4 linked regions of the Saccharomyces cerevisiae S288C genome follow. Changing the gene in region 3 together with the main gene of any one other region gives a genetic interaction. Each region holds a gene or a part of one and is shown on either strand. Other genes may lie near its edges.

Region 1 (2,951 bases), on a different chromosome or scaffold from region 3:
GGTGGTGATCCTCTATGATTGATATACGATGGCACCATGAACCCTAGCGTCGTTTCATTACCACCATAAGATTTGATCTTTTCCTTAATGGCATTCACGGTGGCATTTCTAATGGCCTCTCCCTCTAAAGATTGCTTCAATTCGGCTTCTTCCTGTTCACTTTGTATACGCCTTTGTTCCTCTGCACTAATTTTTGCAATAGGTTGCAAAGATTTCGGAAGGTATGGTGTAACATACTGTTCAGACATCTGCTTTGTTTTTGGATGATTTATTGTCACCATTAGCGCAAGCACGAAAACAAACGAAATCAACAGAAAGCGTGCTATTTTTTTGCTCAGCAGTACGTGCATCTTACCTTATCTTATCTTCACTAAAGGGCACAAAAGGTTGGGTGAACGCTTAGTATCCCTCTAGTCTTGTATACTCGTACACATTATAAGTACATTTAACAAATCTCATCCACATTTCTCGAATAAATATCACATGTAACTTGAAGGTTATTTTTATATTTTTTTTTCCTGTGAAGGAACAACTCGTGTCTCACGAGAGCGCCACTTAAAAAACGAAAAGATAATCGGCGATGACTATATATGTATGTGATTGAGAATAAAAATATGGAAAGATAAAAGACCTAGTAACGTTGTATTTCAATAGTGAGGATAACATAAAGAAGTAAAAAGATCTTTGAAAATGTATGAAGTAATACAGAAAAGGAAAACAAAAATAATAAACGTTTTACAGAGTCCTGAACTCATGAGGCTCATAGAGGACCCATCAAATCTGGGTATTTCTTTACATTTTCCAGTAAGTTCACTGCTAAAAAGTAATAAGTGCACACCAATGCCTAAACTTTCTACGTATAGTTTGGCTAGTGGGGGATTTAAGGATTGGTGCGCGTGACATCCCTCTAGACGTTCCACCAGAGATTGATATCATCGATTTTTACTGGGATGTTATTTTATGCATGGAATCTCAATTCATATTAGATTACAATGTTCCGTCAAAAAATAAGGGGAACAATCAGAAGTCTGTTGCTAAGCTGTTGAAAAATAAGCTTGTAAACGATATGAAAACTACGTTAAAAAGACTAATTTATAATGAAAATACCAAGCAATATAAAAATAATAATAGCCACGATGGTTACAATTGGAGAAAACTAGGCTCGCAGTATTTCATACTGTATCTTCCCCTATTTACGCAGGAACTGATTTGGTGTAAACTTAATGAAAACTATTTCCATGTTGTATTACCATCTTTACTGAATAGTAGGAACGTTCATGATAACCACAGTACCTATATAAATAAAGATTGGTTACTTGCCCTTTTAGAGCTAACTTCCAACCTGAACCAAAACTTCAAATTCGAATACATGAAATTGAGATTGTATATTTTAAGAGATGATTTAATTAATAATGGTTTGGATCTTTTGAAAAATCTTAACTGGGTCGGTGGGAAACTGATTAAAAATGAAGATAGAGAAGTCTTGTTGAACTCGACCGATTTAGCTACGGATTCTATTTCTCATTTATTAGGTGATGAAAACTTTGTTATTTTAGAGTTTGAATGCTAAGCAGTTATATTCAGTTAGAAGCATATATCCCACCATTAAATAAGTTAACATACTACTGCATTTTTATTTTATGTTTAAGAGCAGATACGTCAATGTAGCTTGCATATGTACGTATCCTCCCCCACCTCCTATTTTCTACTTTGAACTTTATGGGAGTGTTAGTATAAGAAATATGTTTACACCTTTTTCAGACAAATGTAAACGGAAAATTAAAAAACGAATTCAGATCGATGTGTTAATCAAGTAGATGAAGGAGAATAAAGCATATAAAGCGCACCGCACACATGTTTCATTTAGTCAAGGGACTTTACAATAATTGGAATAAAAAGGAACAATATTCAATTCTAATATTAGGTCTAGACAATGCAGGCAAAACGACGTTCTTGGAGACATTGAAAAAGGAATACTCTCTGGCGTTCAAAGCCTTGGAAAAGATACAGCCTACGGTAGGACAAAATGTGGCGACAATACCCGTTGACAGTAAACAGATCTTGAAGTTTTGGGATGTAGGTGGTCAAGAATCACTGAGATCAATGTGGTCCGAATACTATTCCCTATGTCATGGTATAATTTTCATTGTGGATAGTTCAGATAGAGAACGATTAGACGAATGTTCCACGACCCTACAGTCAGTTGTAATGGATGAAGAAATTGAAGGTGTACCCATCTTGATGCTGGCCAATAAACAAGATAGACAAGATAGAATGGAAGTACAAGATATAAAAGAAGTATTTAATAAGATTGCGGAACATATAAGCGCTAGAGATAGTAGGGTTTTACCAATAAGCGCATTGACTGGAGAAGGTGTTAAAGACGCTATAGAATGGATGATTGTTAGACTAGAAAGGAATAAAAAGTCAAGACCACCGATTTATAAATGATAAAGAAGCACCAAAAGAAATAAAATGTGAATGGTTTATTCTCAAGCTCAGAAATTAGTTGTTGTAGCACTTTTTATTCGGCATTTTTTAATATACATGTGTAAATTATATATATATATATATGAATATATATCTTGTTTTGTTTATTTTCAACTAATAATCGCAACAATATTATCTTTCAATAACGCTATAGCTTCTGTATGCTTTTTGCTCAGTTGCTCAATGGTTCTCTTCCTCTATGTGATAAACCAAATAGTTTGGTAAGCCAAATACATCGTAGTTTAATCTCTTCGCCATCTTAGCAAAACCTTCTGTTTCAATCAAGTGATAAAATGGGAAATTAGGGAACATGGCACCGTCTCTGTGAACTTCTGCTTTGACCAAAGTACAGCCTCCACCAACACCATCCAGCGCCATCTCTTCACCTGGTACGCCATTAGCATCGTAGAAATGAGCCATTAATGGCCTATAAGTGGCAATTTCTGCATAACCCTCGACAA
Region 2 (2,882 bases), on a different chromosome or scaffold from region 3:
GGTGTAAGAAGATAGTATGATGATTGAGAGATAGTCATCGGGTTTAACGGAAGCTGATATGTAAGGATTGATAATGCAGTGGGATAGTGAATAACAACACATAAAACAAAGAAGAAGTAATAATCTTAATTTATATAACTATTGATCCCCCTTTGTGCATTGCCATATTTTTGAGGAAAATCTCTGGTATTCTGTATGTCTGATATCAAAGCTATTAATAACAATGGAATCCCAAAAATTATCAAAGTACACCCCGCAGTTATTACATGAGATCAGCTTCCATCTTGGTATATCTCGTCGCTGACATATATGCTCTCTCTCATCTCTATGTTGTATCATTGCTTTCTTATTGTTTGTTACATATACATATATATATGTATATATCATCAGCACTCTAACTGGGCGAGTGTGCGTTCCTTCCTTAAAAAACAATATCGCGTATTATTCTTCTTTTCTTAAAAATATTGGCATACCATAAATGAATGAAGTGTCCCCTAGTCTTACACATCGTATTGCAATGTCAGACTCTTGGCCACTTCTGTGGTTTCGATAGCATTCTTAAACTCCTCGAAACTTAAACGTCCGTCGCCGTCGCTATCGTTTTCCACTATCGTCCTATCTACTATCTGTTGCAGCTGTTCATCGTCCAGATTAGAACCTACCATAATCTTCAACACGATGAACAACTCACCATTGGATATGAAACCGTCCTTGTCAATGTCGTAGATTTTGAAGGCGAATCTTAACTTTTCGTCCTTGGACCCACGCCCACTGAAAATGGATAATCCTGTGATGAACTCTTGAAAATCCACGTCCCCACTATTATCAGCATCGAAAACCTCCATTATACGTCCAGCAAGAGGGTTTGACGAAACGCCAGGAATGCTCATAAATTCATTTTTATCAATAGACCCTGAGCTATCTCTATCTAATTTCATGAATCTCTTCCTTAACCTTTCAATTTCATCTCTATCAACTGTTCAAAGTGTCAGTGTTAGTAAAATCGGTTAATTTCCCCTTTCTTTCTTTTCCTCACTCCGAAGTGTACATACAATTTGTATCTTCTAAAAGACCATCCACAATTTTGGAAGGAGCAGCACCCATTTTAAGAAATAAAAATGCTTCTATGGATTCTGATCACCATTGAGTTACCAAGTTTTAGCTACTAGATGTTCCGTGTAAACCACACCAGCACAAAGCACCTTTATTGCATTCCGCTAAAAAAGAAACTAGTGATTTTTAAGATGATACCCGGCCTTCCACGCGGTCACTTCGCACGGAATGTATATCCCATTTTGGCGGCTAATTTCCAAGGCTTCCATATAAAGAGTTAATTGTTTTATTATTAAATAGTTTATTAGTTAAAATCTTGGATTTAAATAGAGAAGTCGAGGGAAACAAATTATAAGAGTCATTTGTTTTCCTTTTTCATAGCGTCTTCGCGATCAAATCCATAACCACGTGCGACACCGGAAATACCTTCTTCGATATCCGCTCCAGTATTATCAACCTCAGTAGAGTCGAAATCGCTTCCTAGACCTTTCCACGAACGATTCTGCAGTGCTGATGCTGAAGTGGATACAGTACCTTTAATGACGGCACCTGAGGCGGTATGTCTTGTAGTCAGTTGTTTGGAATCGTCGTCGTCGGCCGCCTCTAACTCCAGGTGCGTTAGCGCTCGCAGTGGTCTTGATGTGCTAGTATATCTTCCCCTAACTACATCAAACTCCGGTTCATCGGAAGTTGTGCTGGCAGAGATGGTATCTTGTCCGCCCAAATTCTGCTCGATTTCATCAATGGCGTCTCTGAAGTCCACAACCCATTTCCCGGTCCATGTGACCTCTTCGCTCAAGGCCAAGTTTAATTCATAAGGTGTAATAATGGGCTTGTAAAACTCGTTGAATTGATCAACGATGATACCGCTTTGGCTACAACCGAGAATGCACCAAATATCAATATCTTCAAAGTTTGCTAGCTTGGCCACATTTGGCTTTCCGACAACAAATAAATAGTGTTTTTTCTCACGAGTTTTGATAAGCTTGACCAGCTCGTTGATAGTTTCTCTTGTATTACGTAGCGACAGCGTGTTGACCAGAATACCTATACATCCCGCTGTTCTTGCCACATGCATGTACTTGTAACGCCTCATTAGAGAGGGAAATGGCCCCGTTACCATGCCAGGTAAAGCCGGATCGAAAATATGAACAGATTGAAACACAGTAGACAAATACAGTAATCTCGGATCCTGTGGGGTGGTCAAATGGAAAAGATGATAGTCCTCGGGCGAGATGTTGTCTGCTTTGTCGTGCTGACCAAACAGCACGCTATTTTTTTCGAACACACCCACCTGGTCTACGTCTTCGGGAACGTGAAAGGTGTCAAGTATGGTTACGAATTTTTCTTCTACCGCAGAGGTGTTCACTTGGGAATATATGATATTTGTGTAGTGCAGGTCGCCCTTCAAAATATTGTACAGCTGTGACAAATGCTTAGAGAAGGGTGCGTTTGCCATCAAACAAATTTTGGAGGATAAGTCTGGGAATGCCCTCTGAAAGTTCTCCACCACCAGTGCCAAATCCAAAAATGGAGTTCCGAATGAGTAAACCACGGGCAAGTTTTGGATGGCGTTCAAACATGCGTCACCAAAATGTACCACGACTTCTGCATGTACGTGTTCAGCAGCGACCTCGTCTACACAGCATGCACTGTACGCTGTGTCAGCTAAAACCCAAAACTTTATCTTCCCATGGGGAAATTTCGATTGCAGCAGCCTTACTATCAACGAGGAGTCCTTGATTAAATCGTCAGGAAACTGCAAGGTCACGTTTTGGTACTCCGGGTGCTGTTCCAGATAACCCACGAGAGGCTCGACATTGTAATAA
Region 3 (2,981 bases):
TGCAGTTTTGGAACTTGTCCTTCTTCTGTTCCACCAACCTAATAACTTGATCAATCTTGGTGCTGAACAAATTCAAACTGGTGACAATGGCACCGTTCGGACCTAGCTGGTAATTCTCCATCACTTTCTTGTATTTGATTGAGTCTCTGATATCGATGTTTGCACCATAGGGGACTCTCAATACTGCAGGATCAAGATTGATTACGTATGGTGGCGTTTTCTCTGCCCGCAAGTGGGAGTTTAACCTTTGCATGAAAGTTGTTTTACCGGATCCGGCCATACCAATACATATGATTGTGCTGAGACTCATTCTTGCTGTGTCGTTATTGCGTTTTGTAGTTGTTTGTGTGCGCTAGATGCTCTCATTGTATTCCTTGTTAAATAGAGCATCGCATTAAAATTTTTTTTTTTCACTTTCGCGAAGAAATTGCTTATGGAGCTATATAGAAACGGTAATAGCATAGGCTTCTAACATTATAGAATATATAGAAATAGAGCACTTACATATTCTTTTTGGCCTTATCACGGTTAGCGTAGATCATGGCAGTAAAAGGTTCTTCCCAACGAAGAGCGATCTTGTACATGAAGTAAACTACGGCAGAAACAACCAGCCCCGCAGGCTTTCCTTTGTAAAGGGCTATGCCCAAGAAGGACAAAGTGGAACCCTGGTACATGGGGTTGTTGGAAACGTTGAAGGGGAAGCCGGTGACTCTCTCATCCATCAGGATGCCGAAATAGTCACCCAAGTACGTCCCTGTGATACCCAGCTTGTACATGGAACTCAAAACAAGCACTTGCCCCAAACCAAAGAGAGCCACACCCAGCTTGGTCCAGTTCTCGCCCGTGATCAGAGAACACGTAGGCTGTTCACGCAATGCAGACTCGTACACCATGTCTCTGACGATACCTAGCGAAAATATGGTCGCCGCCAACATGTAACAGCCCTTTCTGGCCCCACCACACATCTTGGTGAGAGAATGCTTGTGGTATTCCATTCTTGCAACGATGTTCCAAAAGATAGGATTGAACATCGTGCACACAATGGCCAGCTGGAACTTGGAAGACTGTAAATCGACACTGTGGATGAGTTGCTGGATGATCTCTTGGACTGACTCCTTCATCGCTTGACTTGCGCTATTCTTGTTGTCTTCAATTGCTGTTTATGGCTCTGTCCAAGAACGTTCATGTTCTTCATATGTGTTCTCTTATAAAGACCCCTTATCCAGTGGTCATTGCAGTGGCAGTGGACAGAAACCAACGATGCATGTGTGGGTTTGCATATGAAGATTGAAAAGGCTTCTCATATTTCACAACCGGTGCAACTTTCCACATGCACTCTCATTGACACCTACCCTGGTCATCAAGGAAGCATGAACAACAAGGAAGTCGAATTATACGGCGGCGCCATCACTACTGTCGTCCCACCTGGGTTTATAGACGCTTCTACTCTAAGAGAAGTCCCCGATACACAGGAGGTGTACGTCAATTCCCGTCGCGATGAAGAAGAATTCGAAGATGGACTAGCCACCAATGAAAGCATTATCGTGGATCTCTTGGAGACGGTCGACAAGAGCGATCTGAAGGAGGCTTGGCAGTTCCACGTGGAAGACCTGACGGAGTTGAACGGGACCACCAAATGGGAAGCTTTACAAGAAGACACTGTTCAGCAAGGAACCAAGTTCACCGGACTCGTTATGGAAGTAGCAAATAAGTGGGGAAAACCAGATCTGGCACAGACCGTTGTCATCGGCGTAGCGTTGATCAGATTAACCCAGTTTGACACGGATGTGGTCATCTCCATTAATGTACCTTTGACAAAGGAGGAGGCGTCGCAAGCAAGCAACAAAGAGTTGCCTGCAAGATGTCATGCTGTTTACCAATTGTTGCAAGAAATGGTACGGAAGTTTCACGTTGTGGACACGTCGCTGTTTGCTTAATCTTTCAAATTTTAACCTTATGTTTATATTACCTTTTTATTTCTACTATATAGCGTATTACATGTTTTTTCCGATAAGTATAACGAAATTTCCCAGCAGCGAAGAAAGTGAAAAAATAACAGTGACCATAATGAACATTCCTCTCTTTCCATTTTGCACGTATTCTTGCAGAGAAGAGGCACTCTACTCGGAAGACAGCAGATAGATATATAGACTGTAGCGGTTAACGATGGCCAAAACAACAAAAAGAGCCTCCAGTTTCAGGAGGTTGATGATATTCGCCATAATAGCCCTCATCTCATTAGCATTTGGAGTTAGATACCTATTTCACAATTCTAATGCTACTGATTTACAAAAAATTCTGCAGAACTTGCCCAAAGAGATTTCCCAAAGCATTAATAGTGCCAACAATATTCAGAGTTCGGATTCTGATCTAGTTCAACATTTTGAGAGTTTGGCTCAGGAGATCAGACACCAACAGGAAGTTCAAGCAAAGCAATTTGATAAACAACGTAAGATCCTGGAAAAAAAAATCCAAGACTTGAAACAAACACCTCCGGAGGCCACCCTAAGAGAACGCATAGCTATGACTTTCCCCTACGATTCCCATGTCAAGTTCCCAGCATTTATTTGGCAAACTTGGTCCAATGATGAAGGTCCCGAGCGTGTTCAAGATATAAAGGGCATGTGGGAAAGCAAGAATCCGGGCTTTGCGCACGAAGTGTTGAACCATGACGTGATAAACGCACTAGTACACCACTACTTCTACTCCATACCGGAAATCCTAGAGACTTACGAAGCTCTGCCCTCCATCATCCTAAAGATAGATTTTTTCAAATACTTAATACTGTTAGTTCATGGAGGTGTTTATGCTGACATCGACACGTTCCCTGTTCAGCCAATTCCAAACTGGATTCCTGAAGAGTTGTCGCCATCCGACATTGGGTTGATAGTTGGAGTTGAGGAAGACGCTCAAAGAGCTGACTGGAGAACCAAGTATATCAGAAGACTTCAGTTTGGTACTTGGATTATACAAGCAAAACC
Region 4 (3,277 bases), on a different chromosome or scaffold from region 3:
CTCATTGGCCCGGAGTTAGGGGGAGATGTTCGCTTGCGGGAGCACGGGAGAAGGAACAGAGCGGCGTTAGCATCAAGTCTAAGGTTGAAAAGCTGCCCAACCTAAGGGCATACATCAAGAATTCTTTATAGTTTTATATAAAAAAATATATATATAGATAAATAGACAGATAGATATGACACAAACAGATAGAAAAAAAGCAGAGCGTGGCTCTTTGAGGTGGAACCCCAGCCAGTCTTGCTCCTTGCAGCCAAAAAAGGGTCTTGTTCAAGAGCTATGTTCAGTGTCGCTGCCCAGTCGCCACAAATAATTGTAGGAGGGCGCGCCAACCTCACGTTTGCATTCTTGAAAAGCCTCTTCTTCTTCGGTTGAAGTAGCACACACTAACCGGAGACAGAACAGTAGAAACCACTAAGCGAAAAAGAAATATATGAAAAGAAAAAACCCACCAACAGCGATAATAACGAGAAAAAAAAAATTATACCCTCTTGCGATTGTCTTCATGAAGTGATGAAGAAATCATTCAATTCAAATGAATTCAAACCTGACTGCGCTTCGGACAGTACAAGCAAGCCGTCCATTTCTTAGTAATAAGAAAAGAATGGCTCTATTTGTTCAGGAAAAACTAGCATAAAAGAAAAAAAGAAAGCTTCCAATAACCCTGCATTCTGCTTTTGAAGGTACTTTAACCGGCTCCTCCCCCATCAGAGAACCACGACTAAAAAAAAAAAAAAAGAAAAAAAGCAGAAAGCAAAAGCTGGGGCTAGTGTTCTTGTTCACTGTAGTTTCCTGGTCATCGTAATCACGGCTGGATTACGCCAATTGTCAAGATCAATTGAATTGTCAAAGGGTAGACTGTTTCCCGCTATATCGTCGCAGAGTGGGTCTGCCAACGGCGAGGCCACCGCATCAAACAAATTGTTGTTGTCTACGGCAGGTAGCGTCGTCGACTCTGGTACATTTTCCGTCTTAAACATCTGCAGCTCCCATGAAGTCTCTTGGTCCGACGCGGAATCGCGCATACTCTTGGGCGACAAAGTCGCAGGCTCCATTGTACAGTTCAGAGGTGAAGGTGTGAACGTATCAGACGACGAGTGCGAACTGGCCCTGGTGTCCAGTGAAGCGCCCCTCGTGCTCTGGAAATCCCTGTACTCGTCAAGAGAAGCAACAAAAGCGTCGTGGCTGCAAGTCAACGCGTCTTCGTGGTCAGCCAGTTTTTCAAGGTTGACGCTGTTCAGTAAATTTTCCAAAAGAGAACATTTTCTCTCGAGATACTGCAGATGTAGTCTTTTTTTCTCTCTGCTCTGGTGAGCAGCTCTTCTGTTTCTCAAAATACGCTCGATCCTTCGCTGTTCCTTTTCCTCTTTTGTCTTGGCTCTTTTCCTTGGAGGCAGAGTCGACTTGAAGTTGGTAGGGATAGCCAAGTTCGATTGCGAATTACTAGTTAGTTCAAAATCAGTCATTTCCATAGTGGCGGTTGTTGTCGTAGGTGGGGGAGGAGGAGGTTGTTATGTTTGACACTGAGTTAAAGCCTTGGAAGTTTAAATAAAACAAGAAGACAAGAAGAAAGGAAAATTTCGCTAAAAAACATATTTCTGTATTCATTTCTCGAGTTGTCCATTGAGGTGAAATTTCTTCTAATATATAGTGAATGTAGGGAGCGAGAACAAAAGAGAACAAGGTGTTCAAAACCACGTTCATCACTCGGTACGATGTATATTTGCGACTCTTTTTAGCCCTACTTAATGCTGAGCCACTTTGCCTTACAACCCTCATAAATGTATTTTTATCCTAGCTTCTTTTTCCATATTGCCCTAGGTCTTGTTTATTCATGTCACGTGACTATATTTCCAGGTTTTTCTTTTTTTCCTCGTCCCTTTTGTGGGAAAAGAAAGCGTCCTTACTAAAAATGAGGGAGCTTTAACTTTAATATACAGCTTTTGGCAGCTTGGTGTTGTTTTTCATTGTAAAAATAAGTTGTTGTTCGTATCACAGCATTTTCAACTTCTGCATTGTCTGCCGTTTTTTGTATAGATATAGACGTATATATATATACAGAATTCTCTATCCTCTTAACCACTCCTGGAAGGCCTGCTGTAGAGGTTCTGGTGGGTGCTTTTACTGAATTCCTAACTCATCAAGCATTTTCCCTTTTTTTTTTTCCCTTTCCTTTCTCTTGCCTCATTTGATAGAATAGATAAGCCCAGTAGAGGAAGACAGATGTTCAATAGAAGTAACACCGCAGGCGGATCTCAGGCTATGAAAGAGGGACTTGGCATAAACAAGCTCTCCCCGATATCATCGAATTCGAACCCAAGCTCATTGACTTCCTCCAATTATGAAAAATATCTGCAGCTGGCCACAGAGAAGAATCCGTGTATGATCTTGGAGCTGGAACTGGACGGCAAGGTGCGATATGGCTCTCCACAGTGGAACACGATCACAGGAGTCGCCGATGATAGTGGCTCTTCTCCGACGTACATTGCAGACCTTATTCTCGGATCCGATCAAGATAAAGGTGTCTTTCAAAAGGCCACAGACATGCTGCTCATGAATGATGACACCAGTTGCACTATAACGTTCAAGATAAAGGCAGCCGACTATGAAGGTAGCGCAGGCTGTGACGATGAAAGTACGATAACGACCTTGGAAGCACGTGGTATCTTAATCAGGGATGGCCACACACAGTTGCCCTCTCACACGATGTGGATAGTCAAGCCTCGCACAAACGACTGGTCAGACTTTTATGCCAACGAAGACGCTCAAGACGACATGGTCATCCAGTTATCCGATAATTGCGACGATATCGATATCCAACTTCCCGAAGAGTTCGCCAAGACGCTTGGGTTCGGCGCTAAGATCTTCGTGCAGTACTTGAAGAGAATACGACTGGAAATGATAATAGACGAGTTCAATCTACCTCTGCCAAAAATGGAACTATGCCGGGTCTGTGAGAACTTTGTCCCTGTTTGGTGGTTGGAGACCCATTCGCAAAGTTGCGTTTGCGAGCATAGAACGGAATCGCTCATACAATTACTACACGATAATCTTCTTGAGCAACAGGCGATCTTGGCAAACTTCACGAAAGATTCAGAGTATAAGGGCAGTCAGATACAGGTACGTTCCAACAACTTCCTTAACCAAGTTTTAGACTCCTTAAGAGAGCTGTGTCAGGACGCCATAGATATCAACCCGAGTGAAATGGTTCCTGATCTTTACCACAGTCTTTCAACATTTCCTCAAGATAATGGTAATAATAACAATAATAATAATAATA

What was found.
Region 1: mutations in OPI3 (region 3) and ARL3 together harm fitness more than expected from each alone (negative genetic interaction), as found in Saccharomyces cerevisiae (5 studies listed by BioGRID).
Region 2: mutations in OPI3 (region 3) and CNB1 together harm fitness more than expected from each alone (negative genetic interaction), as found in Saccharomyces cerevisiae (6 studies listed by BioGRID, with this or other methods).
Region 4: mutations in OPI3 (region 3) and HAC1 together harm fitness more than expected from each alone (negative genetic interaction), as found in Saccharomyces cerevisiae (7 studies listed by BioGRID, with this or other methods).

Annotation. Positions count from the first base shown.
Region 1 is NC_001148.4:458,109-461,059, forward strand, and holds ARL3 (Arf family GTPase ARL3), read left to right. Parts: upstream 1-1,854; coding exon 1,855-2,451; downstream 2,452-2,951. Other genes in the region: KTR6 (putative mannosyltransferase), read right to left, coding at 1-350; mannosyltransferase complex subunit MNN9, read right to left, coding at 2,671-2,951. UniProt on the Saccharomyces cerevisiae protein: Involved in the targeting of ARL1 to the Golgi. Can bind and hydrolyze GTP.
Region 2 is NC_001143.9:81,169-84,050, reverse strand, and holds CNB1 (calcineurin regulatory subunit B), read right to left. Parts: upstream 1,105-2,882; coding exon 1,053-1,104; intron 977-1,052; coding exon 501-976; downstream 1-500. Other genes in the region: DPH2 (2-(3-amino-3-carboxypropyl)histidine synthase), read right to left, coding at 1,412-2,882.
Region 3 is NC_001142.9:571,815-574,795, forward strand, and holds OPI3 (bifunctional phosphatidyl-N-methylethanolamine N-methyltransferase/phosphatidyl-N-dimethylethanolamine N-methyltransferase), read right to left. Parts: upstream 1,122-2,981; coding exon 501-1,121; downstream 1-500. Other genes in the region: GTPase NPA3, read right to left, coding at 1-310; Ran GTPase-binding protein MOG1, read left to right, coding at 1,281-1,937; HOC1 (alpha-1,6-mannosyltransferase), read left to right, coding at 2,167-2,981. UniProt on the Saccharomyces cerevisiae protein: Catalyzes the second two steps of the methylation pathway of phosphatidylcholine biosynthesis, the SAM-dependent methylation of phosphatidylmonomethylethanolamine (PMME) to phosphatidyldimethylethanolamine (PDME) and of PDME to phosphatidylcholine (PC).
Region 4 is NC_001138.5:73,371-76,647, reverse strand, and holds HAC1 (transcription factor HAC1), read right to left. Parts: upstream 1,470-3,277; coding exon 809-1,469; intron 557-808; coding exon 501-556; downstream 1-500. Other genes in the region: protein kinase RIM15, read left to right, coding at 2,221-3,277. UniProt on the Saccharomyces cerevisiae protein: Transcriptional activator involved in the unfolded protein response (UPR) pathway. Recognizes and binds to the UPR element (UPRE) in the promoter of UPR-regulated genes such as KAR2, PDI1, EUG1 and FKB2.